4 linked regions of the Arabidopsis thaliana genome follow. Each later gene encodes a partner of the first gene's protein in a complex. Each region holds a gene or a part of one and is shown in the gene's direction. Other genes may lie near its edges. The genes, in order: AT1G15770, AT1G23230, AT5G63480 and RFR1.

Region 1 (6,055 bases):
CTGCTGGTTCCTTGTAGCTACCCCAATGGCTCTCCATCTCTTCTAGATAAACTCCCGGTCGAAACCAGGTACAAGCAAATCCTTCAGTCTCAAGTAAATAGAACCATAGATTTTCCGTACCGAGTCGAGCAAACTTCTACGATACAGTTAAAATCTTCACAAGAATCATCTACTAGAAACCCTTTATTAGAAACTGCGTTATCTTCTTACCGTAACACGGTCTGGTTTCTTGAACAGCAAAGAAAACGAGGACCTGTCGTCCAAAGCTATGGCAAGGTTCAACATATTGCTAAGAAGTTTGTCACAGCCGATGTCGCTCAAAGACATAGCCAAGACATGGGACGCCTGTGCTCGGGCAGTGATCTGTGAGTACGCACAGCAATTTGGCGGTGGAACTTTCAGCTCAAAATACGGCACTTGGGAGAAATATGTAGCAGCTTCCTGAATCTGACGGATCTCTCTCGTCTTCAATAGCAGCTCTGTGATTCACTTGCAGGTTCATGTCAAAACTAAAGAAAAAAAGCCAAAAAGTTTTTTCCTCACTTTTTGTTGTATAGTATAAGTTGTTTTCCCACACACGTGATTGGGATTTTTTGTTATCTGTTTGCAAAAGCTTATGCTATATTATTGAATATATTTAAATAATATTATTTTAACTTTATTGTATGTATTTTGTGAATCTTGTTAGTATATTCGTCATTTTCTTCTAATTCTGAAGTGCAATTACCCCTTTTTTGGGGTCTTGCTGAATGTTGTATTTTGAGATTTGTTGTAATACGCATTTTGAGATCGTTCAGAAGAGTTTCAACTTCTTTACTCTGTTCAGTTGTCACAATAAAATGGCTGTTTGAAACATTTTTTTTTTTTTGTATATACCAAATGGCTAACTTTTTTATTGTAATTATTGATGATTTATCATCATAAAGTCATCAAGTTAGAAGATACAAGGAGTGATCAGTGTGGTGTGTAATTGTCTATACAAATTAGTACATGAACGAGATTTATTTAGTTAATGACTATAATTAACATTTTGGTCACACAAATAGCCGGAGATTTCACTGGTTTTTCTACAAGTCTCTTTACTCGATTTTTAGCCTTTACTGTGTGAAATAGAAAACTTAAAAAAACTCCAAAAAACTTATTATTTGCAGAAGAGACTTGGGCCTGATAAGTACTTATTATTGGGTCATTGGGCCTCGCTTAATAACCTGATATTGTAATGTTGTTGAAGCCTTTTAATCCTTGTATTTAGCTCTCTCTTGTTTGTTTCTCTATAAAATCAAAAGATGATTAAAACAAAAACAATCATCTCTAATTCTTCTCCTTAACCCTAATTGCTACGTTTCACTTATTAAAAGAAAGATTGAAACGTAAGAACGTTTGGAGAAAAACCAAATCCAAACGGACCGTTCTAAGTCTCGGAGATTCATCGCCAAAAGGTCCTTATTTTGAGTCACCTATCTCATTACGTGTCATAGTAAACCCATGGATTCGTCGATAGCAAAACCTTTTGCATAAGAAACTAGTTTTATGGATTGATGATACTTGTGTACCTCTAATTTTAGGTTTTTGTATTTTTTTTTACACAGTTTCTGATGATGAATGAATCTCGCTTTTTAATTATTTTTCTTGGCTAGCAACACTAGATAGTAGATACAATGGAAAATGAAAATGGAGATGATTGGCGGGAGGAGGTTTTCCAAAAGGTAACTCATAAGTCATAATCATCATAATAATAAAACTCCTTTCTTAAATCATCATCGGGATCATTCATTGTGGTGTGTAATTGTTTATACAGCTTAGATCCATGAGAGAGCGTTATCTACCACATGTGACTGATGTTTACCAGAGACTTGCAGACAAGTTGAACCATGTAAGATGTAGTTACTGTCAACTATTAACTCTCTGCCTTAAGTTGTATAGATGTAGTAATACTAGTTTGTTTGTTTTTTTCAGGAGGAATCGCTTCCGCAGCAACAAAGATCAAAGCACTTTGACAAGTTCCAAAGCATGAAGACAAACATAGAGCAATTGATCCAAGTCCTATCTCTTCGAAAGAGAAATATCATGCCGATATTAAAGGATTGTAGATGGGACTATTATGAGAAACGGATTATATATTTCTTAATTACGCTAAGAACCGGCTGGGAAGACAGTACAGCAAAGGCAGCTTCAAGATCAGTCTCATAATAATCAAGGAAATGCATTGTAGATATTTTGTCTCTCTCTCTTTTTATGTTGGTCTTCTCTCTTCTGATGTGTTTTGAACTCTCATCCTCAATGTTGTTGACTCCGGTGCTCTGTTTCTACCAGGCTCCTCCTATCAAGTTATGATCGAAAAATGAATAAAGACCCTTTTTTTTTTTGTAAATGTTAATTTCTCGGAGATTAGGTGTGTTTTTGGTGGGTGCTTTAGTGTTCCGTCAACTAGTAGGGTAGGGTTTGGTTTCTTATTGAATTCATGCAGAATTCTTTTACCCATCAACAGAGATTAAAGCAATTTGAGAGATTGAAGGCAATGTTGGAGCGAAGAATGATACAATTCCTATCTGTTTCAAAGAAGCAATGTCATGCCTTACTTGAAAGATTACTACGACAACCAGATTATTCCTTTGTTACTAGCAGGATCATCTCTCTGTTACTAGATGATATCACCATGATGAGTAATCGTATGTATGATTATATTGCTTTTCTTTGTAGATCAAATCCATCAAAGAGACCTCAATGAAATCTACCAGAGAGTAGCAGCCAAGTTGCAGCAAGTAAGTTACAGTTTTCATTCTTCCTAGGAAGTTAGTTTGCACGTGTACGTCCTCTGGAACAGTACTAAGTACTTTATGAAGAGTTTTACAAATTCAATGCAAGATCAGTTCATTGTTACAAATGAAAGTCCTACAACTTAGGATTCTTGTTACCCATTTAACAAAGTAAAAGGTTCGTCAGACTCTTATACTTACAGATAGTTCACTAGAAGTTAACCTTCTGACAGATATATTCCTTCCCAAACCTACAGAGGTTGTAAACTTTTAACGTTCATCTATATGTTTGTTTCTTTTCTACTGAATACGTTCCGTTTTCTCTCTAGGAGGATTCTCTTTCGCATCAGAAACAAAGATCAGATCAGTTTGAGAAATTGAAACGAGGCAAGACAGTGTTGGAGGGAATGCTACGTTTCCTATCTCTTTCAAAGAGCAATATCAAACCTGACTTGAAGGATAGTATGGATTATCGCAAGAACAACATTATGAATTTCTTAAATATGCAGAGTCTGAGGAAGACAGTACAGAAACTGCAGCTTACGAAATCTGAGATTCAGCCTATGCAGCAACCACTATCTCAGACAGTTCAAGATCAGTCTCATGATGACCAAACAACTCTGCAGATGCAATCAATGAGCATGCAGGGTGCTGGGTCAAGGGTACAACAGATCAGGCAAGGTGTACTTCAATCCCTTGAAATTGGCACTCCAGGGATCTCTGCCTCTCCTCTCCTTCCGGAGCTTACCAGTCCTGATGGAAATATTATAAATCCTTTGACAAGTACTTGTGGAAAATCGAGTGCTACTGAGCTGCCTATTGAACGCCTTATTAGAGCCGTAAGTAACGTTACTAATTTTGAAGGGTATATTGCAACAGGGCAGTGTCATTGCTGCCATCCCTCATTTGCCGTGGAAACATTGTTCTGATCTTGATGTTTGCTTTCTGTTGTTTTCAGATGAAATCCATCTCACCACAAGCGCTTTCGTCTGCAGTATGTGATATTAGATCTGTTGTAAGCATGGTTGATAGGATTGCTGGTTCAGTACCAGGCAAAGGTTCAAGAGCTTCATTTGGTGTGGACTTGGTTGCAATGACTAAGTGCCATCTCCAAGAAAGAAACTTCATGACGCAAGATGGCGACCATGAAAAGGAAGCGTCAGACAACCCCAATGCCATCAAGTGTTGCTTCATTGGGAGGAAAGCGTTGGTAATAGCTACAAGCATTTTGCTGGTTTGGTAACATCAGATATGGAATCTACTGTGACTTGTGGTGGCAAGAAGCCAAGAACTGAGGTATGGTTTTCAGTTACACTTCCCTTAGGTATATCTGAAAATTGACACACACACAACAGATAAAATTTGGAAGCACAATGTTTTGTGTGCTCTAGTGTAGACTGTGTAGTGTCCTGAGCTCAAGATCTTTCCGATTACCTCAAGAGTAAGATCACTCCGGCAGGCTTAGCGTCATGGTTATGTGTGTAAACAGAGCATTTTTTGAGAAAAGAGTAAAAAGTGATAAAAGCTGTAAAGAAGTTTTGACTGGAACAGAGACTTAGGCCAAAAGCAAAGACTGGAGAGACAGACTCATTACAATGACCCCACACACTCACATACACACCTGACACCACCACTCAACTCTATTTTCCAATTGTTAACTAACAAAAATTAACTAGCCTAATCACATACAAAGACAAAATCAAGAAAACATGGTGGAAGAACCCTAAAACCTCATCTCTCACCATCAATTCTGATATAAAGAACGAAGAAGAAGCTGAAAGAGAAAACATAAAACAGAACTTAGAGATTTTTCTAAGTAGGTTTGAGATTCTGAAACATTGAATCCCATTTGATATCTTCAAAATAAGTATCTTGAGCGTAAAGTTTCTCATCCTTGAAACTGTAATCGAAAACCATGGGACTTGAGAAGCTATCGATTCTACAAGGAGTCCCATTGGTCAACAACAACCTCTCTTGCTTCTCCAATCCACCATTTCCATTGCTCGGCATCACAGATCTCTTGTTCCTCTTCAGGAATCCACCTCTCCACTTCCCAATCCCGTTGCTAGTCTTCTTCGGCACCAACACCAGAGCTCGAGACGACGCCGACTCTTCTTCACGGCGGATCCAGGCGCGTACGTGATCGGATAAACATTTCCTGGTTTTCTTAATCGCAGTCACGACTCTGGAGATGGAACGAGAGGTGAGAGGAGGAGAGTTCTTGCGATCTCGACGAGCGAGTTTGAGAATCTCGAGACGGTGTTTGGCGATAGAGATTCCCATGCTCTGGAGAAATTCGTGGTCGAAGTAAGAAATGTCTTCGTGTTCGAGCTCGTTCTGAGAGAAGGAGAGGCCGTATTCGTGGATGAGAGAAGGTTCAAGGTTTGTTCTAGAGAGCCATGAAAACCACCAATCTTCCATTGAAGAAGGTTTATGTTTGTTTGTGTTTGTGTGGGAGATGATGTATATATAGAGGAAAAGTGAGTGGGGGGCTTTTTTGACTTTTGTGCAAGTAGCGGGCTTCGTCGTTAAGGTAGTTGAGACGTAAAGAGGGACTATATCTGATTAAAGTGAAAATATAAGAGGGTCAAAAGTGAAAAACACACAGAACAAAATATTGATTTAATATCAGTGGGTTATTCATTTTTTCAAATTTTATTCGAGGAAATGGGGATTACATTTGTGTAATATTACAGATAAAGTAAACCCATGCTTGTGTGAGTAATAAAAGAAAAGATGGGAGTGGAGTGGTGGGTATGTAATATGTAGAGAATATCGAGAAATTGTGTGAGAGTGTGGAGAATGGAGAGTGACCATCAATCACGGTGTGTGGGAAAGGAGCAAAACCCAGTGGGATCTTACTTTTTTTGTGTATGGGTCACTCTTGTATTTTATAACTAAAAAGTTAACACGTAGTATTATTATGTACTAATACACCAGTGTTTTGGAATCTACTTTGCTTTGGTTTTACTAAAAAACTAAACATCGCTTCGAAAATAAGACAATTAAGTGAGGGTAAATATTAGAATACACTTTTTACTATTAAAAACTGGAAATTTAAGGGATTCCTGATCATGTCATTTACATAAAACTGATACAAAATATATCATATACTCAATAATAGGAAAAAAAAAAAAATTGGAAAATATATCACAATTAATAATAGGGTATAGGCCAACTATTTCCTCCCTTATTAGTAACAACACTATGCAGTATGCACATTGGTCAGAGATGAAACTGGAGAAAATCTTCCAATTAATTTTCTTAGATTTATAGTCAGGAAAAAGTAAATTTTCCCC
Region 2 (9,843 bases), 2.8 Mb from region 1:
TGATGTGATAGAGATGGAAGGAGTTGAGCTAGAATTAGAAAGAAGAAGCAAGTTCTTGAACAGTTTGATACAGAAGAAGAAGGCTAAAGAACAGCAAGATCAGAAAGATGAGTTCAATGTTCGTGTTAGGGCTTCAGATATGCCTTTGCCTCAACAGAACAGAGCCTTTAGTTTGTCGCGTGAGATTTTGAATGCTACTCCAGGGAAGGCTGATAACAAAAGACTCGCTCATGCCCTAAAAAAGGTTAGATCTTTTGTATCTCTCTCATGATTTTTCTGTATTTGGGTTGAATTGGAGTCATTGAAGTCTAGTACTTGGATTGAGTTTTGAATTTTGACACAGAATCTAAAAGTATTGAGCTGCTTTTGGGTTCTAGGGCTACGTCTCAAAGTCGCATGCTTTTTGTAGAATGTGGTTATGGTCTTCTCTTTCTTGATTGGTTTGAAGATGTGATGAATCTTGAATTTGGATTTTCGTTTGTGTACTTGCATATTGTTGAACTTCATGGATGGTCCCATATTTGTTAGGTTGCATTTGACTTTGTTCCATTGTTGTTGTCTTTTCTATTTGTAGCTTCGGTTAGTCTACTTGACTAGGTTGTTTTTGTATTGCGAGGATAACTGTAGTAGGAGTCTCGTTGTGAAATGTCTTGAAACTGGATGTTCTTGTTGTTTATTGAGATGATTTTGGAGCTGTCTTAGGCCATAACTAATGAGGCATAGCATGCACCATCTGCTAAGCTTCTGTATCTTTGCTGTTAGAAATTAGTTGCTACCTAATGATAACTCTGAAGCATGCTTGCTTTAGGAAGTGAGCCTTGCCTGAATACAACCTTTTACAAAGGACTTGGTTCGACACCCCATATATAGAGTTGTCCATTTATGCAGTTGTTTCTCGTGAGGATATTGTTCCTTCTTAAAGCGGCTTTGATAATTAGCTTTTGATTTTAACTTATGGAGCGAAATGGAGCAGTTCCCTCAATTTATGCGACTAGGTAGAGGCATTGATTGATCCATACATTGATTTTATGAAGTGGTTGAGTAAAACAATTTAGTGTTCACTTATCTGTGTGCAGCTTACTTGTTTGTCTCAGTGTTCATCAATCTCTTAATAATGGCTACCTCCCTTTGGCTTTTAGGATTGACATACGAGTCAATTTCTGCTGTTGTCTTGTTTTATCTTCTTGTTCTGGTAATATAGATCTCTTATCTCGAAATAGATCTTCATATGTTTCTTGTCTCTATGTTTTCTCCTAAATCCAGCTTCTATGTTATCCACTGAAGTGAATCTTAGACTCCCATCTGTCTAATGACATGTTGCAGCTGATTTAAAACTATATATTCACGAAACAGTTTTCCATCTGTCTTCCATTTCAGGACTTCGATTCAGCCTACGGCCCGGCATGGCACTGCATTGTTGGAACAAGCTTTGGTTCATACGTGACTCATTCCACAGGAGGATTCCTATATTTTCAGATCGACAAAGTTTACGTTCTTCTCTTCAAGACTGCCGTGGAGCCGTTAGATCAAAAATGAGATAAAACGTTGATGATCAGAGCATCTTCAATTTAATCCTTTTCTTTTAGAATTCTCTGTCTTGTATCCCACAATGTAATTCTGCCTAAGACAAAATCTTTGTGGCTCCTATTGTGTAATTAGAAGTCATCTTCTCTACTGTGAATCGTTTCAACTTCACAATGCAAAATATTGTTCTTCTCTTTCTCAAATTCTAATTTTGTTTTTTTCGTTGTTGTGTTGTTGTTGTTGTTGACATTTTCTTCTCTTCAAAAGAGCTTTAAACCCAAAACCTCTAATACCAATTTTGCTCCTCCGTTTTATAAGCATCAAAGAAAAAAAGAATCAGTGAAGAAGAAAAAAAAATGGATCAATCGCAGCGAACAGTCGCTGCAACGCCATCGTCTTCTCGATCGTACCAATTCCACCCAGCTCGTGCTGCAATTATCGATCTTTTCAATCTCTACTTAGGGGTTGGTTAATCTCTTCTCCAATCTCCCAATTTTTTTCATCGAATTTTGTTTCTCTGCTGATTTTGCTTTCTCTATCACAGAGAGGAAGCCGTCAAAAGCCTGATGAGTCCCTCCGAGATCCCCCGTATGTTGTTTCTATTGATTCTGAATCAACTCTTGTTTTCTCTTCCTTCTGTGTTTGATTTTATCCATGTTGATTGTTTTGATCAGGAACAAATCACAGAAGCGTGTTCATGCTCCTAATAGAGACTTACCACCAAGAAACGAGCAATTCCTTTTGGATTTTGAGCTGCTTCAGAGCCAATTCAATGTAAAGTCTCGTTTTTTAACTATCTTTATCTTTCTCTTTGTGATTTCGTAAGATAAAGTTTTTTTTTTTTTTCCAACTCTTTGTTAGGATCCAGAGCAATTGAGGACGATTACTGAGTCAGTTTTGATATCTCTGGTGGTGCAATGTAGCAATCATGCGCCTCGTGCTGAGTTTCTACTCTTTGCTTTGCGTACATTGTGTAGGATTAGTTATATCAATTGGGATACTTTTTTACCATCCCTTCTCTCTTCCGTTTCCGCTGCTGAGGCGTCGTTAAGCCAAGGTGTTCAAGCAGCAGCGGCAACGGCTGGTTCTTCTGCTACTTCTTCGCAGTCTGTAGTTCCTGTGTCTGTGAATCCAACGTCATTGCTGCCTTCAGCTCATGGTATTGGTTCTCCATCAGCTTCAGAGGTGAAATCTGTGGAGAATGGGCAGCAGATTGCAAGAGCTGGCCAGATTGTAAGAGAGAATGCTATGAGAAATAGTCAACGGATTAGAGCTGCTGCTGTAAACAGTCTGCGTCAGCTCAGTTGCAAGATTATCTTGATTGGCGTTGAATCTAGTCTCAAACCCGTTACTCATGCCGAGATTTTCCAGTACATGATGAATTGGCTTGTTAACTGGGACAGGAGAGATCTGGGAACTGAGGACTCTGTAGGAAAGTCGTGGAGATCTGAGAAGACTTTAGCTGAATGGTTGCGGAGTTGTTTGGATGTGATCTGGCTGTTGGTAGAAGAGGGTGAATCTCGAATTCCGTTTTATGAGTTATTGCGCAGTGGTCTACAGTTTATAGAGAACATACCTGATGATGAAGCCTTGTTCACTCTTATCATGGAGATACACCGGAGGCGAGATGCGATGGCCATGCATATGCTCATGTTGGACCAACATCTTCACTGTCCATCATTTGGTACCCATCGTATAGTCTCCCAAATAACTGCCAATGTTCCACCCGAAGCTGTGCCACACTTACGACATTCACCAATTACATATCCAAGTGTGCTTGGGGAACCTTTATATGGAGAGGTGATTCCTATGAAATTGTGGAGATTGGTTTCATAGCTTAGTTGGCTCTTGTTGATATTGTGTAATGTATACGCTTTTCATTAGGCAGACAATTTGTGAATTTCAATCCTCTCTTCTTCTTTTTCGACACCGGCAGGATCTGGCGATGTCTATTCCAAAAGGAAGCCTGGATTGGGAGAGAGCAGTGCGTTGCATTAGACATGCTATTCGCACTACACCGTCACCGGACTGGTGGAAGCGTGTTCTTGTTGTGGCCCCTTGTTATAGACCATCTACACAAGCAGGGCCTATCCCTGGTGCTGTATTCACTTCTGACATGATTTGTGAGGCAATCATTGACAGAATTGTTGAGCTTCTTAAGCTGACCAACTCAGGCAATGTTTGTCTTTCCCTATTTCTCATGTCTTTGATCTGTCACTTCCATTTAAATCTGTGGAAATTATTTTGAAATAGCAAGTGGTTTTGCTAGTCGTCACAATCTGTAAAGAACCTACATCCTTTACGTTTTATTCTAGTTCTATAATCGTTGATTCGTTAGGCTTAGATAGAAAAGATAAAAGTAAGAGTTGAGATACCATTATACTAGGATTGCTTTGGTATTGATTTGGTATCTGTTACTTTTCCCCCTCTCTATGCAGATGCAAATTGCTGGCAAGAGTGGCTGGTTTTCTCGGATATATTCTTCTTTCTAATCAAAAGTGGGTGTACTGATTTTGTTGATTTCATTGACAAGTTGGTTTTACGCCTTAACGGTGTTGATAACCATATTCTTCGGACGAATCATGTGACTTGGCTGCTTGCACAAATAATACGCGTGGAGCTTGTGATGACTGCTTTGAACTCAGATGCTAAAAAGGTCGTTACTCAATTACAATGATATGTTTGCAGCTGCAATGCAATTACTTGTACTTCTTTTTCGGCGAATTTAACATCCCAATTTGTGCTCTATTTGGGTTTTCTCTCAGGTGGAGACTACTAGGAAGATCTTATCATTTCACAGGGAAGACAGAAATTCTGATCCCAACAATCCTCAGAGTGTGTTGCTTGACTTCGTAAGCAGTTGTCAGAATCTACGGATTTGGTCACTAAGCACAACAACTAGGGCATACCTAAACAATGAACAGCTGTTGAAGGGAAAACAGATCGATGAGTGGTGGAGAAGCAAAGGTACATAAGGTTTCAATGGCAGGGCTTAGACTAGGAAGCAGAGAATCCCGATTATAAAAAGCATCCTCTCATTCTGTTTCTTGTTTGGGGTTGTCAGGAGAGCGGATGATGGATTATATGAATATGGATGATAGGTCGATTGGCATGTTTTGGGTTGTTTCCTACACCATGGCACAACCAGCATGTGAAACAGTTATAAATTGGCTATCTTCAGCTGGCATGGCTGAGTTACCGGGATTACAGCCAAACGACCGAGTAATGATGACGCAGGAAGTTACCCCGTTACCTATGTCATTGCTATCTGGCTTTTCAATGAATTTGTGCTTGAAATTGGCCCTTCAGATGGAAGAAGCTTTGTTTGTTAGCCAGGTTTGTTTCCTTTGTCTCACAAAGATATTATATATGTTAATTGATACACTGATCTATGAAGAACATCTTCTTTGGTCATTTTTACTTAGTGACCTATTTTCTCCACGGTTTAGTAAAACAACTTTAGCGTTTTACTTGTTTAAAAATGTTAATAGTAGATTTTAAAAAACCTGAGAAAAATGAATTTAGTGTCGTAGTAAAACATCTGAGTGCAGGTTGTTCCTAGCATTGCAATGGTTGAGACATACACAAGATTGCTTCTGATTTCCCCTCATTCGATGTTCCGTTCACATTTCAGTGTAAGCTATTTGGTTCCTTCTGTTACCTTTTGACTTTCATTATCTTATGTTTTATTGATCATAAGCGATTCATAAGATTAGCTAACTTTCTGTAGCAATTGGCCCAGCGAAATGCTTCTCTGCTAAGCAAGCCTGGAGTGACGTTACTTGTTCTTGAGATTCTGAACTATCGGTTGCTGCCACTCTACAGGTAAAACGAGCGAAAAGTTCTCAAGTTGGAGTAGATCCTTCTTTATGTTTTAACTGGGTCATTCTTTTAGTTAGATGACAATTGTTTCGGGCTTTCGCCATATTGGCTGTTAGACCCGACTAAACAAAATTACTGATCTTATTGCAGATACCAAGGAAAGAGTAAAACTTTAATGTATGATGTTACTAAAATAATATCTGCATTGAAAGGAAAACGTGGTGACCACCGTATATTCAGACTAGCTGAAAACTTATGCATGAATCTCATTTTATCACTCAGAGACTTTTTCTCTGTGAAACGGGAGGGAAAAGTAAGTGGTGTTTTCGAATTACTCACTGTCCCCCTTCTTATTTTGTGCCTGGATCTCAGGTGTAAATAATTGTTCTTATGTTATCATCACTAGGGGCCAACTGAATTCACTGAGACGTTAAATCGCATAACCATCATGACTCTTGCTATCACTATCAAAACACGTGGTATCGCAGACCCTGATCACATGGTTTATCTGCAAACCATGTTGGAACAAATACTCGCGACGAGTCAGCATACATGGTCAGAGAAGACGATGCGGCATTTCCCATCCCTTCTCCGTGAAACTTTGAAAGGACGGGTAGACAAGAGGGGCCTATCAATTCAGGCATGGCAACAGGCTGAAACAACTGTGATAAACCAGTGCACTCAACTTCTCTCACCATCTGCTGAACCCGCTTACGTTTCAACATACCTCAGTCACAGTTTTCCTCAACACCGTCAGTATCTATGTGCTGGTGCTTGTCTGCTGATGCAAGGCCACGCTGAAAACATCAACAGCACAAATCTGGTTTGCTTTGCTTAGTCTATTCATAATTGTGAAATGATTGTTTGTTGATAGTGGTATGATTTTCTCTTCCAAATGATTATCAGGCACGAGTTCTGAGAGAAGTTTCTCCTGAAGAAGTCACTGCTAACATATACACTTTGGTCGATGTTTTGCTTCACCACGTTCATGTAGACCTTCAGCAAGGACAATCTCTAGAGGTTTCTGTCTGCCAGAAGAGATTAACCTCACTTTTCGTTGCTTGATCCATCTTCTTACATTGCATCGTAATATTTTTTAGGCAGTTCTAGACAAGGCAGGCGCAAATCTTGCATTTTTCTTCTGGACACATGAAATGCTTCCTCTCGACATTTTTCTTTTGGCGCTCATTGACCGTGATGATGATCCTCACGCCTTGATAATTGCAGTATGTTCATGCTTTTACGTAAAAGAAGCTTAACATCATAGAAATTTTACAGTGTTGTTTTCAATTTATTTACAGATGAGCCTACTTAAAACGCCAGACCTTCTGCTGAGGATAAAAAACTACTGCCAAAACCGTGGGTCTCCTGAGCACTGGCTTGTCACACAGGTGTTCAAACGCAATGAACTCCAGAAGGCCCTGGGTAACCATCTTTCTTGGAAGGACAGGTAATATATCCAATTCAACATCAGTGTAACTGATTTCTAACAACAATTTCACTTAAGTACATGGCTTTGATTGTTTGATTGGTTTTGTTGGCATCCAACCATAAATGTGTGATGGAACCTTCCATGAAAACTTGTGTATGACTAGGAAATAGTTGAATTTTGGTTTGATCTGTTTTAATTTTGGTGTTGGATTCTGCTAAAGTTGGGTAAATGTTTTACCTATTTTTTTATTGTGTTAAACGCAGGTATCCAACGTTCTTTGATGATATTGCAGCGCGTTTGCTTCCAGTTATCCCTCTAGTGCTTTACAGGCTCATCGAGAACAATGCGATGGAGCAAGCTGATAATCTTTTGCTTGCACACTCGCATTTTCTAGCGTATCATCCTCTCAGATTCACGTTTGTCCGTGATATACTAGCCTATTTCTATGGCCATCTTCCTGGGAAACTTGTTCTGCGCATGCTCAAAGTACTTGATCTCAGCAAGGTAATTGAAAACAATTCCCGATCTTACATTGATTCTGAAATTGACCTCAAGTTGATGCCGCTTTTGGATTTTAGTTTAGAGATTTTGTTTCTCACCAATTTATCTAGATACCTTTGTCCGTAATCGTTTCCACATTCGATTAAAATGGAACGTAACAAATCTTTTGACATTTCCGCAGATTCCATTCTCTGAATCATTCCCGCAGTACATTAGCCCTACCGGTGCACCTGTATGCCCACCTCTAGATTACTTTGCCTCTCTTCTGCTTAATCTCGTAAACAATGTTATACCTCCACTTAGCAGCAGCAGCAACTGCAGCTCGAGGTCTGGCTCAATGGCAGACATCTTAAACAGCTCAGCAAGACCTCCTCATGGAAAAACTCCAGGAACATCTCAGCCTGGACCAGCAAACGCCTCTGAGGGCCAGAAAGCATTCTATCAGATCCAGGACCCAGGAACTTACACGCAACTGGTTCTTGAGACAGCCGTGATCGAGATCCTCTCGCTTCCTGTCTCTGCTGCTCAGATTGTCTCTTCGCTTGTCCAGATAATTGTCAACATACAATCGACTCTGATTCAATCTGGAAACGGGTTCCACGGCGCTGCCAACGGGGTGGGACAAGGGTCGGTACTGCCAACGTCTCCCTCTGGAGGGAGCACAGACTCCATGAGCGCTAGCCGGTCCACTTGTCTGATTCCTGGTATCAACACAGCGAGCTTTGTCTCTAGAAGCGGTTATACATGTCAGCAACTGTCGTGTCTGTTGATTCAAGCTTGTGGACTTCTGTTGGCTCAGCTCCCTCCAGATTTTCACGTACAGCTTTACTTGGAGGCAGCACGTGTGACAAGGGAAACATGGTGGCTTAAGGACGGGAAGAGATCACAAGGTGAACTAGACTCAGCTGTTGGATACGCTTTGATGGATCCTACATGGGCTGCTCAGGATAACACCTCGACCGCCATAGGTACGCTATAGTTTCTGGATCTAGAAGTGAAATGTTTGTTTGGATTTTGTTTTTACATGTGTCTTCTTCCAGGAAATATTGTCGCCTTGCTTCATGCTTTCTTCAGCAATCTCCCACAAGAATGGCTTGATGGCACGAATGCTATCATCACGAACCTCCGGCCTGTGACATCTGTGGCAATGCTCAGAGTTGTATTCCGTATCATGGGGCCACTGCTTCCGAGGCTTGCCAGTACACATACTCTCTTTAACAAGGTACTCTTATGGCTTGTATCCATATGAAGTGGTCAGTCTTTTCAAGTATATGCTTGTGAGAGTTACCGTGTGACGTTCTGCTCATGTTAAATTTAATATCAAAGGCTGGATAGAATTTGAATATTATGTAGTTGCCATCGTCTAGCATGTTAATTCCTAGTCTCTCGAGTACACAACATAAATGAAATGATCTTCAATGGTTTCTTGTAGTTTTACTTTGGTGTTCATTTTTTGTTTCTCAACAGACGCTAATGCTTCTCTTAAGCGCACTGGTCGATGTTTTTGGAAAGACCGCACAGACAACAGCCCCTGTTGAAGCATCCCAGATTGCAGATCTTATTGATTTCCTGTAAGCTTCTATTATATTACCATAGCAAAACATGGATTCACTATTGTCGTTGTTGATTAACAATCACATAACTGTTGTTGCAGACACCATATTATTCACTACGAGGGACAAGGAGGAGCTGTTCAAACTAGCAGCAAGCCGAGACCGGACATCTTGGCGTTAATCGGAAGAGCAGCAGAGACTCTCCGACCAGATGTACAACACCTTCTCGCTCACCTCAAAACCAACCCGAATTCTTCCATATACGCAGCTGCTCATCAGCAGAATACTGCAAAGACTAACACCTCTTAATAAACACCCAGATGATAATGTGTGTCCGTAGAGCAATAGAAGCACAAAAGATTCTTCCATCTACAACATGTTCTGGTAAATTGGGTTCATGGTTACAACTTGTTTTGTATATATGTCAATGGTAACATTATGTTTCTCTTATTTATGAAATTTAGAATTTAAATTATCATTAGATGATGAAACAGGCTTATTCAACCAGGTATTTCAGATGAAGTATATTTCGATTAGTGTTTTAAATTTTATTGACTTTTTTTGTCGATCTCTTTTTTTTTTTGTCGTAATATCAACCGGTATTAATTGATATTCCGAAAAAAATTAAGAAATTAAAAGAAACAATATATAAGGACCATTTGAACCTATATAAAAATCTTATGCATATTTTATAATAAATTGATCCATTTGCGCATGCTAAAACGTGTCATGAGACATTACCTTTGGACTTAGGAGAAACCGAGTAAGGCTAATGAGTCGTGAGAAAGATATCAGAGATGGAGAGAAACACAGAACAATGAAGTTAGCACAAGCTTTCTTATTACTTTAGGATCATTCTTTTGGGGTTTATATAAACAAATAAAGTATCGAAGAAGCCGTTAATTATTTTCTTGTTTACCTTTTTTTCTTTTGTTAGGTGTTGTGTTAGTTATACAGACTTATACATAAACAAAAGATTTGATCCAAAATAAAGTGGATAGATGTTTGTGT
Region 3 (5,809 bases), on another chromosome or scaffold:
ACTAGAACTGAATGATCTTATAAGAAAATAAATTGTAATAAAACTCCAATATGATTGGAAATAAGAGCTACGCATTACTAAATCCAGCTTTTGACAGCAACACATGGATTCAAAGCAGTCGCTTGCCAACGTTACTAAAGTAATTAACAAGATCAATTGTCATGAACTGAAGCAGTATATTATAAGTGAACTCTTGTAATTATCATTACACAATTTGATCACAAATCTCAAAGCTTCAAGCATTTATAGTAAATGGTAAAATTCAAAGTAAAAAGCAGAAACTTTGAGCCTATAGGCACAAAGTGTGGAACCTAAACCTAAAATCAAAATTACAATTCAGACAAGATTTTCTCTGATTTAATTCTACCCAAATTTCAACGATCTGGAACTACAATCAAGATCACTTTGAAGAATTGAAGACGCATACAAAAAGCTAATCACTTTGAAAAACCCAAAATTTCAAAATTCGGAATCCATAATAGACCTTAGAAAACAAAAAAGGCGGGAATGGGTTAGAAAAGTTACCGGATTGGAAGAGACGACGGTAGAAGACAAGAAACCTCGAGACGGGAGGTCAGAAAGGAACTTGGAAGCAGTTTGATCAGAAGAATCGGATGGTTGAGATGATGAAGCCTCCATTGACAAACCACTGATAAACCCTAGCCGAGGAAGACGAACCCAGAAGAGCAAGAGAGGGCGAGAGAGCAAAGAGAGAACAGACAGAAAATCGTTTAGGAACAAAGCGGCACAGAGATGGTCACCGTCCGATTGCGTCTATTGGAGAAAGATATGGGCCTTATTAGGCCTTAAGATGATTAAGTAAGAAGTTAATATATGGGCCTTAATATAATTTATATATACATGTTAAAACGTGGTCTATTCAAAGCTAATATATAGGCCTTATCAGGCCTTAAGATGATTAAGTAAGAAGTTATTATAAGAGACAGAGAACTCAAAGCTACTACAAGCCATGAAATACAAACTCAATATGCCATACATAAGCTCTGATCATTACTAGATTAGGAGCAAGAATCAACAAAAATACAAAGCATAGATTAGAATCTGCACATTTAGATTAATATATAGTTAAGCAAGTCTGCAGTTTTGCTGCAATAACTTATAAGTTAACAGGAAAAATGAAAAAGAGCTTTTTTGTTTTGTTTTGTTTGATCTCTCTCTCTCTCTCGAGTAAGTCATTCGAATCATAGACATATAAGAATCAGACACTTGCAGGGTCGAAATGATGATTAAATCTCTAAGCTTCTGGTTCCATAGCTCAACTGCACAACATTGTACAAATAATCAAAGGTGTGAGTCAAATCAAATAATGGATATCAAAATTGTGTATTTTACAAAGTTTTGTTTATGAATCTAAAGAAATGAGCCAGATGATACTGTAAATTGAGCTTCTTTGATATTATCAATTTTTAGCTTATTTGATGAGAATCAATGAAGATGACACAGAGCAGCAAATTCCTCTAAGACTAATCAAAGCAAGCTCATGAAGAATCTCAATAACCATAGATAATCAATTGCAACAAGCTACATTGCTGAATATTACTAGAATTCACTTACCCTTGGCTATCGAGATTACCATGGCCGCTACTTCCTCCACTTCCATAAGACACATCATCACCACCACCAGCTGAATTCTGCCAAACGCTTTGCCATGCCTGAGAAGGAGGCTGAGCATAAACACCGCTAGGATCCATCGCCGGTCTTCCAATCATCATCCCTCCAGGAACCGCCGGTTGTCCCATCGGTGGATAATAATAAGGAACACCGCTCGCGGCGGGAGCAACCATACCTCCTCCACCAAGAGCCGATGCTGCATCTTCCTCTTCCTTGATCTCTTCCCTAGGAACAATATCAACAAGGAAATCGAAGATATCGGTTCTAGTAATCGCAGCAGCGATATCGTTTTTCTGAAGCGTACGACGTTTGTTCTCTTCAGCGTGAAGCCAAGATCTAATCGTAAGTTCGAGAATGAAAAGCTCACAAGCTTTCGCGAAGAGAATCGGTGCTTCGGCGGAGATCATACGCACATCTTCATCAGCTTTCATGATTTTTTTGATACGAGCTAGAGGGAGCTGATGGTTTTTGAAATCGTTTACCTGTTCGATCTCTTGTCTCTGGTATGTCCAGAACATTTGAAGCTGTTGCTGTTGTTGCTGGAGGAGGTGGTGGTATGTCGCTCCTCCTCCGGTGACTATTGATGCAGATCCAGATGGTGGAGGAGGGATTACGGTTGTGACGGCGGAGCCAGGTGGATAGACGGAGGTTGGTGGTGGTTGCTGGTTGTTGTTGTTGTTGTTATTGTCCATTGGATCTTTGCCTTGTGATTGGATCAAAAGATCAAACTAACGTTTTAGATAGTTTTTGTCATATGGATTGGAGTAATAGTGGATAAGGTAGACAGCGATGTAGCTGATTTCTTTCTATTTTTATTTATCTATAAAAACTATATTATTGATATATATATTATATAGTTTGATTAAAACGACATCGTATTAATAGTTTAGTCAACCGACGCCGTGATAAAGTGTGTTCACGGTGATGCTGCAGAAACAGGTCTCGACGACGACGACGATGACGACACAGGAGCTAGCGATGGAAGGAGAGAAGCAATTGGAAGAAACTATTGAAGCGGCGTTTCAGATAATTTCAGCCATGAATGATGAGCTTTGTAATCCGTCTTTGTGGTCTACTTCAGCTACCCCGAGTTCCGCCGCGACGACGACGGGTTCTAATGGTTCGGCTCTCGTTTCCGCCGATGCGGCTGCGATTGATGGAACATCGCATCATTCGGAATCTGCTGGTGGTGGCGGGGGCGGAGGAAGTGGAAATAGTGTTTTGGATGAGGCGAGTCTTCGGTATAAGAACTCAGTGACTTCGCTTCGTGCTGTTCTTGCTGCGATTCCAAATTCGCAGAAGGTATTGAACATAATGTGATGTTACTAACTATTTCGAGAAGTGTTTTGTTCTGAGTTGTTTCTGGACTGAGGAAATTTTGAATTCCTAGGGTGTTTTGAGATCTTAGATTAGGAAATCTTCGAATCGATAGAGAGTTTAGATGAAGGATCTAATGCTTGTTGAGTGTCTTGTTCTTCACTTGTAGTGAACTTGCTTAATTTTAAATGAGAGCTTTTTTGAGGTTTCATAAATTTGAATTTGTTCATCTATTACAGGCAAAAGCATCTGAAATGCAAAATGGTTTAGGATCTCCTGAAAGTGAAGACGAGATCGAAAAATTGGAGGAGCAAGCCTTAAGTCTCAGAATGGTAAAGCTTTCTGCAATTTCTACATCTCTTTGTTTTCAATCTGATGTTACTACATTGATACACTATTCAGTCTCGAATTCTCTGTACATTTCAACTCACATAGCATTGAATTTGATTCATATTTTCTTGTATAAAGTGTTCTTTCCCACTGTCTAGTGTAAGTGTTTGTATCATTATAGCTTAAGCGGTTCTAGAACCATGGAAATGTTGATAATTTTTTGAATACATTTCAGCCATCTGGTCATTTTGATTTCTATGTTAATAACCTTATGGGAAGTGATTATATTGTTCTTCTCTGTTGGCATTAATAAACGGAAGCTTTTGTTCATGCAGGAGATTGCAAAGAAGAATGTTCATGTTAAAGAACTTATAGATAAACTTCGGGAACTTATAGCAGATATCTCTACATGGCAAAGCCCTTGTTCTGTTTGAGTTTTATTTTTTTGACAATAGTGAGATCAGTTTAGACAAAGATTCTAAGCCTTGTTCTTGAATTACTCCATGTATTAGTTTTAGATATTTGTTATTTTGATATCATGAAGCCAAAAAAATAATCAAAAATGACTTTTGTATATAAAAATATTTCAGACAAAACCTTCAAACCCTGTGTCTGTTTTTCTTTTTTGTTTGTATTGATCTGTTAAAGAAACACTTCTTGTAGTGTTTCTGAGGAATCAATGACCGAATTTTCTGAGAAAAGCCATAAAACCAAGACCAGCTACTAATGCTGCACCAGCCGCAACTCCACTATAAGCAGCAGCCCAAGCGTCTGTCTCTACATACTCCATTGATTCTGCTGATCCTGATGCTCTTCTCCTTCTTCTTCCTTTGCCTTCTCTTGAATCATCCAAATGTAATCTCAGACTCTGCAATTTATAATGATCAAATCAATTCAGAAAGCAAAAGGGGTTTATGGGCAATCTCATGAAGGTTTCATCTTCGACTTTGGTTCTTGTTGCTTATCAACCAAAAGTTTAAAGCAGGAGGAAATCGTTCTTTTTACCTTCCAGCCAATTGATTTTGCATGCTCTATGGCTGCTTGAAGGTCACTATCTGAAGCCAACAACACTTTATCGTGGTCTTCATCTTCATACTGCACATTATAACCATCATTTTAACAATTCAGGGGGTGACAAGAGAAGAATTAGATAATGATTGCATCATAGTCTTTATGTAAAAGAAAATATTTACCAAAATTTGGGGGAAGTTATCTGGATCGATATCATCCCCTACCCTCTGAATGATCGCGGTTATCACCTCTGTCAAACTCCGAGTGTCTGCAAAAAGAACCAATTCAGTTAAGTAAAAGCAAGACTACAACTATTTACTTGATGAATAAAAATCAAAATTATTTTTACCGCTTATGAATCTGTGTTTCCTGTGCTTTTTGTCTTCAATTTTGAAAGAAAATGTATTTGCAAAAGGGAAAGATTTTCCTGTCTCAGCTTCGGAAGCAACCTTCATGGAGCTCTCACTGAAACAAATTGTTCCCCATGTTGTCAACAAAGTCAGCAAAACCAAAGCTTTCTTTGAAAAGAAACTCGATAAATAGTGGAACAAGTAAGACTAGCTAATAACCTTCTCGAGTCCTCATCGTCCTCATTAGGAGACAATGCCATAGCTGAATCCCAAAACTTTTGCATCATTGTGTTTGTCGCCTCATTACCTATTCCCGCAGTAGTTCCAGCCTGAACACATCAAAATAACTACAAGATTGAAACATGTATCTAGAAAAAAGAGAACAGTGGATGTTCTAAACGAAAAAATTTACAGACGGTTCAAGAGATGGGAGTTACTGTGGCAACAGCAGCGTGAGTGACATGGATTACATCGACAACAGCAACTACATCTCCTTCTGCAATCAGAAACCCATTTATGGTTTACATGCGTTTGCCTTTTTAGTTTTTGTAAGACTTTACAATTGAAAAGGTTTCAGAATTCTCACCTTTGTCAGTAACGGGAAGGTGTAAGAATTTTCCCTCGTGCATGATGTGTAGAGCTTCAACAATTGGTGTGTCAACTATCGTAGATTCTGGATTCTGAGTCATAACCTATGCATTAATGAATACGAACAAATGGTTAAATTCAGGAAAAAGGAGCAACTATCACTAAGCTGGAAATAAGAGTCTAAGATGGTTGAATAATACAAGACCCTGGAGACTAATCTTTTAATCTTACCGTTTCCACTAGAGTCTCAGATGGAGGAAGATTTTCAGCCACAACCCGCATCAGTATATCCTTGGAACTAGATAAATGAAAAAACAGAACTCTTGAAAGTTAGTGATAATATATTCAAAAAGAAAGACAGAAGAGTTTAGCCAACGCATAATCTATCTAATAAGTTCGTTAGAACAAATTTCATTTGGTAAATGTGGTTCTCTAGAACAAATTGACCTGTTCTAGTTCATGTAAGGGTCTTTGCAGAAGTAAATAGTCCTATCAGTAAACTAATATTATAGTATCAGAATGAAATTTAGGAGAAACACTTTAGCCGATTAATGAGGATGGATGTAAGGCTTTCAGGATCT
Region 4 (9,521 bases), on another chromosome or scaffold:
GATTTAGGGAAAAGAGAAATACTACACTTTGATGTAATTTTTTTTTTAATTGAATTGAGCTTTGAATACTATGGTTAATATGGATGAAAGAAAACACACGTTCCTACTAATTTCTTTTTCTAAATGATGACGTTTTCTCAAGTTACTTATCGTAGTCTAATCGGTTATTGACAAAAATGATCTAGACGTTTGAAAATCATTGGCCAACCTCTTCACTAGATAGAATTTTTATTTCTAACCATTACCTACCTGATACACACACCAAGTTCTGAATCTAGAGATGATCTTGTCTCATTTGTTTATAGACTAAAGAGTATATAAAAGCTGGATTCATGTGGGTCATCCATCATTAATCGTGTTCTTCAATTCACCAACTTCGTAGGTTCCGCATCTTTTGTACTTTCTTTCTATTTTTAATCTTGCAATATCAAAAATAAATATATACACCTTTTAAAAAAATTCTGAATATGCATATGGTAATGGTATCATCAGAAAACATTGAATATTGAATCGTCTATCTACCAATCTCTTCAAGTTGTGAATTTTATTTATCAAAAAAAAAAAAAAAATCAACTGAAACGTCAATGTTATGTTTTGCTTCAATCTAAAGAAAGTTGTACCAAAAATAAAGTACTTTTTTACCAAGAAATTTCGGATTGTAGCCAAAATATGTCTTGTTTTATTTTTTTTGTTCACCAAAAATATGTTAAACTAGTTTTTTGACTTTTTCCCCCATGCGTTGTTGTTGTTATTCGGACGACCAATATTTAATACAGTATTCAAGTGTAGCTAAGCTACTGATTCCAGATAAAGTAAAAAAATGTCTTTGATACCAACTTCACTTTGACCAATTATCGAACTCTTTAATTTCATAATATATAGCTTTGACAAATATCCCATCAGAATTCATAAATCGCCACATGAATCTTATAATTGTCAACTATGTGCAGTCCAATATTAATATCATGGAAAACTAGATTACTAGCATTTAATTTCTTAATTGTATTTAGGTTATAGACTTAACATGGTTTTTCTTCTAGAGCATTTTCACTACATTTTTTTCTTTCTATGTTATTATTTTATGTTTTACTTATTGTTACATCCATTTACAACGATGTTGGATAAAATATTTTTAACTGTTCAGTCCGTAAATGACTAGCTAAATTTTTACGGATATATTTTTACATAAAAAAAGAAATTATTTTTACGATTTACCAATTTAACTCTTCTTTCTCTCTAAGTTTTCATTTATTAAAAATGATAGTTTTTTTAAGAAAGTTATTTGTATTTATTTATTTAAAATTGGATGCAAAAAATTACAAAACTTGGAAGAAATATTGTTAACCCATCTTTATCAGTATAGAATTTCTGATTACTCCCTGCGTTGAAAATAAGAAGATCCATAGAACGTGGTAATGTTTTTTTTTTTTTTTTTCTGGCAAGAAATGGTAATGTTAATCAATTAGACTCATGACTAAAGCTGGAAAATTTGACTAAAATGGTATTATCTTGCATTATTACCTAAAAGCTCTTCTTGCATTACTCTTTCATGCAAAATTGCCTCCAAAAGTCATACTTCGAAATCATGGCTTTGTAACTCACCCTTGCCACCATCTATCTAAACTTATTATTGTTTAAAACAAAATTGATTTTCAAAGAAAAAAAAAATATAAACTCCCACCGGTCAATAACTTTTAATTTTCACTTCAATTATTCATAAAATAAATATATACACCTTGATTCTTTCTTAATAACTGGAGTTATTTTGAATTTAAATTACTTTTGAAATACAAAAGAAAGTAAGATAATTTTGCCATTTAAAATGTCTACAACAATTATGTTAACACTTAACATACATTTTTAGAACCAAATGGTAATGGTCCACTAGTTAAAAGATTTCTTATGAATGTCTTTTTATGCAGAGTTCGAATTTTCTCACAACGATTTTAACCATTTTCGTCACTCGCAAAATTTTTAGTGGATAACAAAAAAAAAAAAAAGTTGAAATTTAATGGAAATTTAGGAGATTTGTCCAATTTTTAATTTTCCCGATTAATTTAAAAAATCTACTTTACGCCTTTTATTGACAAAGATGCATATTAACTATATATATATATATATATATATATATATATATATATATATATTATAAACTAAATTTTGTAGAACCCATCAGAAGAAATTTGTACTTTTAACTTTAAAATCAATTAAAAAATTTCAATTCAAATAAAAAAAAATCCAAAATTGTTTATAAATTCAAGAAATATAACACACAAGTTGACATAAACAGTGGAGAGATTTGTGAAATGTGAACTCTTTTGACGTCTTTCTCATATTTCGTCTCGGGACAATTCACACGCACTGAATCATCTCTCTCACGAGGACTATTCAGCCATTTGCAAACGCACACACAAACGCACACGCGTTTATTTTTTTTTCGCCAAATCAAATCTGAAGAGTTCCTGTATCTTTTAACCGCTCTTCTTCTTCTTCAGAGAGCTTCGTTGATTGAACGGAAAAAATGGTGGTTCCTGGACGGAGAACCGTCTGGGATTGTGTGATTGAGCTGACAAAGATGGCTCAAGAGAACTGTGTCGATCCTCGTCTTTGGGCTTCTCAGTTATCATCGAATTTGAAATTCTTCGCCGTGGAGTTACCGTCGACGGAGCTTGCGGAGGTTATTGTTTCGTACATTTGTTGGGATAATAACGTTCCTATTGTTTGGAAGTTTCTTGAAAGAGCTATGGCTTTGAAGCTTGTTTCTCCTCTCGTTGTTCTTGCTCTTCTCGCTGACAGGTCTGGATTCATCGCTCATGGATTGTTTCCTTAGGGTTCTATGTGTTGATGATTTATTTCGTAATTTGGATTGTGAGTTGGTGAATTATAGTTTGGAAAATCTCTACGATTTTGTGATGGATCTTAGATTTGGTTTTATCTTATTGTAGTTCTATGTTTTCTGATTGTTGCAGAGTTGTTCCAACCCGGTCTACGCAACAAGCAGCTTATAGAATTTACTTGGAGCTGCTCAAGAGAAATATGTTCACCATTAAAGATCATATTAGTGGACCTCACTACCAGAAGTGAGTTTTTTTTTGTTGATACTTCTTACTTACTGTTTCATTCAAATGCTTGGCTCTGTAGGAAAAATGTTAGTAAATGTATGTTTCCATTAACATTGTACTCAGAAGTAGAATTAGAGAATACAAAATACTGTTTTGGCTTACTTGGTATTTATCTTCCTTCTTCTTTGTACAGGGTCATGATTTCAGTATCCAATATTCTTCGTCTTTCAGAGTTATTTGATCTGGACACAAGCAAACCTGGTGTGCTTTTAGTAGAGTTTGTTTTTAAGATGGTGTCACAATTGCTAGATGCAGCGTTAAGTGATGAAGGTTTGCTAGAGCTAAGCCAAGACTCGAGCTCCCAGTGGCTAGTTAAGTCTCAAGATATGGAAATTGATGCTCCTGAGAGATATAATGAAAAGACTGGATCACTAGAGAAGTTACAGAGTTTGAATACCATCATGGCTATTGAGTTGATAGCGGAATTCCTCAGAAATACAGTGATTGCGAGATTGCTATACTTGGTATCTTCCAACAGGTATGCATCATAGTTAACGAGAGTAAAGTTTTTTCAGTGGCATCATAGTTATGTTGTTCTTTGCATTGGCAGATATTTTGCTTAATCATGACCTGAATTTGACAAGTAATGTCTCTGTAGTAAAGTGTTTTTCTTTTAATCCATTTGCTATCCATTTCTTTTCAGGGCTTCGAAGTGGCATGAATTTGTCCAGAAAGTGCAGCTTCTTGGAGAAAATTCATCGGCTTTAAAACACTCAAAGGTTCTAAATTCTGGGGATCTATTACAATTGATTTCGAATAGACGATTTGGGTATTCTTATGATAGCAAAGTAACTTCAGCACGGAAATCCAATGCAATTGTGGATTTTGGATCTCTCTCTTCCTATGCTGGCTTATGCCATGGAGCAAGTCTCTCTTCACTTTGGCTTCCTCTTGATCTAGTATTTGAAGATGCAATGGATGGATATCAAGTAAACCCAACTAGTGCGATTGAAATCATTACCGGTAATTTGTAGACTCCATCTTCTTTCACTTGTGGCTTTGACCAAAGAAAAGATATCTCAAATATATAACGAAATGACTTGGGAGTATTAAATTTTCAGGTCTAGCTAAAACACTTAAAGAAATTAATGGGAGCACTTGGCATGACACTTTCTTGGGGCTTTGGATAGCAGCTCTCCGACTTGTTCAAAGGGTTAGATTACTCTCTTACTGATCTTTCTGTTTGTGATTTCACCACTACTTTGGTACCCAGAAAAGTGCAATTGCTATTGCTTGCAAGTTTTACTTACACCGTGTGCTTTTGTAATTGGTTCTGTTATTTGGTTATAATTCCCAAGACTTTTGTTACCTGCAGTTTCAGAGGACTTTCTTACACACTTTCTCTTGACTGAAGCTGTACTATTTGATTGTTACTCTGTCATCCATGATAAGTTTAGATTTTCCGTATCTAATGGCTGTTCTGATTTTCTCGTTTTTCTTTATTACTAGGAAAGGGATCCTATTGAGGGACCTATTCCTCGACTGGACACAAGGCTGTGCATGTCATTATGTATTGTGCCTCTTGTGGTCGCAAACCTTATTGAAGAGGGGAAATACGAATCTGTCATGGAAAAGCTGCGAGATGACCTTGTTACAAGTTTGCAGGTCCTCGGTGATTTCCCTGGATTGCTGGCTCCTCCCAAATGCGTTGTTTCTGCTGCCAACAAGGCTGCCACAAAGGCAATCTTGTTTTTGTCTGGTGGCAATGTTGGAAAGTCATGTTTTGATGTCATAAACATGAAGGACATGCCTGTCAACTGCTGTAAGTTTAATAAAATTTCGCTCTATTGAATTGAAGTTAAACCAATTTGTTTGTCTTCGTATTCTTCATTATTGTCGCTTGATTGTCTTCATTTGTTGATTTTATGGGCCTCTTTCGTGCCTAACATACTTTATGTACATGCCGTAGCTGGAAACATGCGCCACCTGATAGTCGAGGCTTGTATTGCAAGAAACATACTGGATATGTCGGCTTATTCGTGGCCTGGCTATGTTAATGGCCGAATCAACCAAATACCTCAGAGTCTGCCGAATGAAGTACCCTGCTGGTCATCATTTGTGAAAGGGGCTCCACTAAATGCCGCAATGGTGAATACATTAGTTTCAGTTCCTGCTTCAAGGTAGAATGAGTTATTATCTTCTTTTTGTTTCTTTTTGCTCTATTAGCTCCACACTACTTCATCCACATAGTCTTCCCTCCAAATCATACAGTCAGTGGTAATTTAAAATTACTATACAAAATTAAGCTACGGAGTTTCAAAGTCGTAACCTAAGGAAACCATTGCCACAATGAGAATAGTGGTTGCATTCTAGTTTGACTTAAGTTCTGCTTCTTCTTCAGTTATTCCTTTTTGTTTCTTAGCCAGGTAATGCTCTTTTTTTAATTTACCGAGAGTAAAGCAACTGAAATACCTCATGGATTTGATGGAAGCTTAGCAGAGCTCGAGAAACTATTTGAGGTTGCAGTCAAAGGATCGGATGACGAGAAGATATCTGCTGCTACAGTTCTTTGCGGGGCATCTCTCACACGGGGTTGGAACATACAGGTTGGCATTAAATCCACTAATCAGAATCTCCACCAGTGAGAATTTTCGGTTGAACAGACATGTTTGATTTATCTATCTTTCTTCGATGTACAGGAACACACTGTTGAATATCTTACAAGATTACTATCCCCACCCGTTCCAGCAGATTATTCCAGGGCTGAAAATCATTTGATTGGTTATGCCTGCATGTTGAATGTTGTTATTGTTGGGATAGGATCTGTTGACAGCATTCAAATTTTCTCTTTACATGGCATGGTATGTAAATTGTACTTCCAAGTTTACTAGACTTAATAGTGAATTTGCTGAAAGATGTAATGTACGATTTTGATGGCTACTTTTTAGGTTCCGCAACTTGCTTGCTCACTAATGCCAATTTGTGAAGAGTTTGGATCTTACACCCCGAGTGTATCATGGACTCTTCCTTCTGGAGAAGCAATATCAGCATATTCTGTTTTCTCAAATGCATTCACTCTTCTTTTAAAGCTATGGAGATTCAATCATCCTCCTATTGAGCATGGTGTGGGAGATGTTCCCACAGTTGGCTCCCAACTCACTCCTGAACATCTTCTTTCAGTGCGTAATTCTTATCTTGTTTCGTCGGAGATCCTTGATAGAGACCGAAACAGAAAGAGACTTTCAGAAGTTGCAAGGGCAGCATCTTGCCAGCCCGTGTTTGTGGACTCGTTCCCCAAGCTGAAAGTCTGGTATAGGCAGCACCAAAGATGCATAGCAGCCACATTATCTGGACTTACACATGGATCTCCCGTTCATCAGACAGTTGAAGCACTTCTCAACATGACGTTCGGAAAGGTCAGAGGCAGTCAGACTTTAAATCCAGTAAATTCGGGCACAAGCAGTTCATCAGGAGCTGCAAGTGAAGATAGCAATATTAGACCTGAGTTTCCTGCTTGGGATATCCTCAAAGCCGTTCCATATGTTGTCGATGCTGCTTTAACCGCTTGTACTCATGGAAGGCTTTCGCCTCGTCAGTTAGCTACAGGTTTGTTTTGTTTTGCTGGATCAGATTCCTAATTGTGTTGTCATGTGCGATAACATCCGTCTATATGACCTTTGGCAACTCTGAATGCCAATGAGAGATGTTTGACTGTGTTGATCAGTTGTTATATCAGATGCATTTCTTACAGTAAAGTGAATTTATTTACAGAATAACAAGTGTTTTTCTTTCAGGGCTGAAAGACTTAGCAGATTTTCTCCCGGCATCATTAGCAACGATAGTAAGCTATTTCTCAGCTGAGGTGAGTAGAGGTGTTTGGAAGCCAGTATTCATGAACGGCGTGGATTGGCCAAGTCCAGCTACAAATCTATCCACTGTTGAGGAATATATAACGAAAATTCTTGCAACAACAGGCGTCGATATCCCTAGCCTTGCTCCAGGTAAAACTATTCAACGTGTTTAAAATGCCAGTCTGTTTGTTTGGCTTACCATCTCTGTAGTCTGTACCATCCTCTCTTTATAATAAGCTTTTTACCTGTCCTGATTTGATGTGTTAAAGTTAAAGTTGTCTTTTGAACTTATGGTTGACTTCTTGCTGTGGTATTGCAGGAGGGAGTTCTCCGGCAACGCTTCCTTTACCTCTAGCCGCATTTGTTAGTCTAACCATTACTTACAAAATTGACAAAGCCTCAGAGCGGTTTCTCAACCTGGCTGGCCCAGCTCTGGAGTGCTTGGCTGCAGGCTGCCCTTGGCCTTGCATGCCCATTGTAGCTTCATTATGGACCCAAAAGGCGAAACGTTGGTTTGACTTCCTTGTTTTCTCTGCCTCTCGCACCGTCTTCCTTCACAACCAAGACGCTGTGATTCAGCTCCTCAGAAACTGCTTCAGTGCCACTCTGGGTTTGAATGCTGCCCCCATGTCAAATGATGGTGGCGTTGGAGCTCTTCTTGGCCATGGATTCGGCTCTCATTTCTATGGAGGGATCTCTCCTGTAGCACCAGGGATTCTTTATCTCCGTATGTATCGTGCTCTCAGAGATACTGTCTCCGTATCGGAAGAGATTCTCTCTCTGCTGATACATTCGGTGGAGGATATAGCCCAGAACAGGCTCTCAAAGGAGAAGCTGGAAAAGCTGAAGACAGTGAAGAACGGATCAAGATACGGCCAAAGTTCTCTAGCAACAGCAATGACTCAAGTGAAGCTTGCTGCTTCGCTGAGTGCCTCGTTGGTATGGCTAACCGGTGGCTTAGGTGTGGTCCACGTTCTCATCAAAGAAACGATCCCATCTTGGTTTCTATCAACTGACAAATCAGACCGAGAACAAGGACCATCGGATCTAGTTGCAGAGCTAAGAGGTCATGCCCTTGCCTACTTTGTGGTCCTATGTGGAGCACTTACTTGGGGCGTGGATTCAAGATCATCTGCATCCAAACGCCGCCGCCAAGCAATCTTGGGAAGCCACTTGGAGTTCATCGCGAGTGCCTTAGATGGGAAAATATCAGTGGGATGTGAAACAGCAACTTGGCGAACATATATTTCCGGTTTGGTGAGTCTAATGGTGAGCTGTTTGCCGCTCTGGGTGACAGAGATCGATACAGAAGTGTTAAAGAGTCTAAGCAATGGACTAAGAAAATGGGGAAAAGACGAGCTAGCGATTGTATTACTCTCCTTGGGAGGTCTCAAAACAATGGATTACGCAGCTGATTTCATCATTCATTTGCGTTCATAGCTTCTTAAAAAGTTTTGATCTTCTCCAGATTTCAGATAGTTGTTTGATAGATGTTTTTCTTCTAGTGTTTGCTTCCTTGTTGTGACTTGTGTTCTCTAGCTCCAGTGTTGTGTGATGAAATCAATCACGCATATGTATAGAGAGAAACAGAAAAAAAAAAAAAAAAAAAAAAAAAAAAAATCTTGTATAGAAAATATTAGTGTACTATTCTAGACCGTTAGATGGATTAGTGTTCTATTTGGAACCGTTAGATGACTCTCCGTTGATTAGTTGGTCACAAGTCACAACAACATGTTAAAAGAAAACGAATGATTGAGTTTGGTTTCTTTGTATCATCTCTCTGTTTTTCCGAAGAACTAACACATGTCGGGACCTCAGTGCTGTGAAAACCCGCCAACTCTTAACCCGGTTTCCGGGTCGGGTCATGTCGAGAAGCTGGGTGGGCTTGATGCCTACGTCTCCGGCTCTGCCGAGTCCAAGCTCTGCGTCCTCCTCATTTCTGATATTTTTGGTAAAATACTCTTCTTTCTTTGCTTTGATCTGTTTTGACTTTCTTTGTTTTAGTTGAAATATGATCGGAGTAATTAGGGTTTTTGTTTTTCTCTTTTTGGATCCGTTTTGTTGATTTGATCATTGCATCATTGTTGACTCTGACTTTAGGTACGTTTTTGTTCTTCAGGTTTTGAAGCTCCAAACTTAAGGTACTACTACTAATTCTTCCCTCTTCATCGATTCAACCATTAAAAATGGAATCTTTAACTTGGGTTTGTTTCTTTGAAGGAATTAGATAGTATTTAGTAGCCACATATGAGGTCTAGTTAGAATTTTCATTTGAGCCTGCAAATAGTTTTGTTGGTTTTGGATTATGTACAAGATGAAGCATACCTATCATGTGTCTTTAAGTTGACTTGTCTTTTCTGAACTCATTTGATAAGATCTAAATGTTTAATTTGAATCATTGCTTTGATTGCATTGCATTATCTCAAGTTTATCTTGTACAACTATGGAGGAATGTTTATGGAGTGTTAAGTCTTAATTTTATGTCTTAAGGGCGCTTGCGGACAAGGTTGCAGCTTCTGGATTCTATGTTGTGGTTCCTGATTACTTTGGTGGAGATCCTTATAATCCCTCTAACCAGGACAGACCCATCCCTGTCTGGATCAAAGAC

What was found.
Region 2: AT1G15770 (region 1) and AT1G23230 share a complex: the UniProt entries of both Arabidopsis thaliana proteins name them as parts of the mediator complex.
Region 3: AT1G15770 (region 1) and AT5G63480 share a complex: the UniProt entries of both Arabidopsis thaliana proteins name them as parts of the mediator complex.
Region 4: AT1G15770 (region 1) and RFR1 share a complex: the UniProt entries of both Arabidopsis thaliana proteins name them as parts of the mediator complex.

What each region holds. Positions count from the first base shown.
Region 1 is NC_003070.9:5,424,836-5,430,890, reverse strand, and holds AT1G15770 (mediator of RNA polymerase II transcription subunit), read left to right. Parts: upstream 1-2,610; 5' UTR 2,611-2,675; coding exon 2,676-2,762; intron 2,763-3,085; coding exon 3,086-3,595; intron 3,596-3,714; coding exon 3,715-3,999; 3' UTR 4,000-4,183; downstream 4,184-6,055. Other genes in the region: NRB4 (mediator of RNA polymerase II transcription subunit 15a-like protein), read left to right, coding at 1-369; AT1G15772 (mediator of RNA polymerase II transcription subunit), read left to right, coding at 1,659-1,706, 1,799-1,873, 1,957-2,190; AT1G15760 (Sterile alpha motif (SAM) domain-containing protein), read right to left, coding at 4,569-5,177. UniProt on the Arabidopsis thaliana protein: Component of the Mediator complex, a coactivator involved in the regulated transcription of nearly all RNA polymerase II-dependent genes.
Region 2 is NC_003070.9:8,242,601-8,252,443, forward strand, and holds AT1G23230 (mediator of RNA polymerase II transcription subunit), read left to right. Parts: upstream 1-1,839; 5' UTR 1,840-1,880; coding exon 1,881-1,988; intron 1,989-2,068; coding exon 2,069-2,112; intron 2,113-2,198; coding exon 2,199-2,298; intron 2,299-2,385; coding exon 2,386-3,324; intron 3,325-3,460; coding exon 3,461-3,703; intron 3,704-3,910; coding exon 3,911-4,180; intron 4,181-4,289; coding exon 4,290-4,491; intron 4,492-4,588; coding exon 4,589-4,860; intron 4,861-5,075; coding exon 5,076-5,159; intron 5,160-5,254; coding exon 5,255-5,349; intron 5,350-5,496; coding exon 5,497-5,659; intron 5,660-5,752; coding exon 5,753-6,169; intron 6,170-6,252; coding exon 6,253-6,366; intron 6,367-6,446; coding exon 6,447-6,572; intron 6,573-6,647; coding exon 6,648-6,796; intron 6,797-7,041; coding exon 7,042-7,282; intron 7,283-7,460; coding exon 7,461-8,247; intron 8,248-8,319; coding exon 8,320-8,501; intron 8,502-8,746; coding exon 8,747-8,850; intron 8,851-8,933; and 2 more. Other genes in the region: AT1G23220 (Dynein light chain type 1 family protein), read left to right, coding at 14-244, 1,378-1,536. UniProt on the Arabidopsis thaliana protein: Component of the Mediator complex, a coactivator involved in the regulated transcription of nearly all RNA polymerase II-dependent genes.
Region 3 is NC_003076.8:25,414,761-25,420,569, forward strand, and holds AT5G63480 (mediator of RNA polymerase II transcription subunit), read left to right. Parts: upstream 1-2,488; 5' UTR 2,489-2,556; coding exon 2,557-2,934; intron 2,935-3,188; coding exon 3,189-3,281; intron 3,282-3,614; coding exon 3,615-3,713; 3' UTR 3,714-3,875; downstream 3,876-5,809. Other genes in the region: AT5G63460 (SAP domain-containing protein), read right to left, coding at 526-639; NF-YC4 (nuclear factor Y, subunit C4), read right to left, coding at 1,572-2,324; AT5G63490 (CBS / octicosapeptide/Phox/Bemp1 (PB1) domains-containing protein), read right to left, coding at 3,956-4,147, 4,285-4,374, 4,473-4,558, 4,640-4,755, 4,860-4,969, 5,078-5,136, 5,227-5,332, 5,460-5,526. UniProt on the Arabidopsis thaliana protein: Component of the Mediator complex, a coactivator involved in the regulated transcription of nearly all RNA polymerase II-dependent genes.
Region 4 is NC_003074.8:8,465,117-8,474,637, forward strand, and holds RFR1 (REF4-related 1), read left to right. Parts: upstream 1-2,281; 5' UTR 2,282-2,521; coding exon 2,522-2,796; intron 2,797-2,969; coding exon 2,970-3,080; intron 3,081-3,255; coding exon 3,256-3,600; intron 3,601-3,765; coding exon 3,766-4,085; intron 4,086-4,183; coding exon 4,184-4,275; intron 4,276-4,571; coding exon 4,572-4,884; intron 4,885-5,031; coding exon 5,032-5,242; intron 5,243-5,553; coding exon 5,554-5,668; intron 5,669-5,761; coding exon 5,762-5,923; intron 5,924-6,010; coding exon 6,011-6,668; intron 6,669-6,856; coding exon 6,857-7,063; intron 7,064-7,232; coding exon 7,233-8,353; 3' UTR 8,354-8,511; downstream 8,512-9,521. Other genes in the region: AT3G23600 (alpha/beta-Hydrolases superfamily protein), read left to right, coding at 8,717-8,864, 9,033-9,054, 9,404-9,521. UniProt on the Arabidopsis thaliana protein: Component of the Mediator complex, a coactivator involved in the regulated transcription of nearly all RNA polymerase II-dependent genes.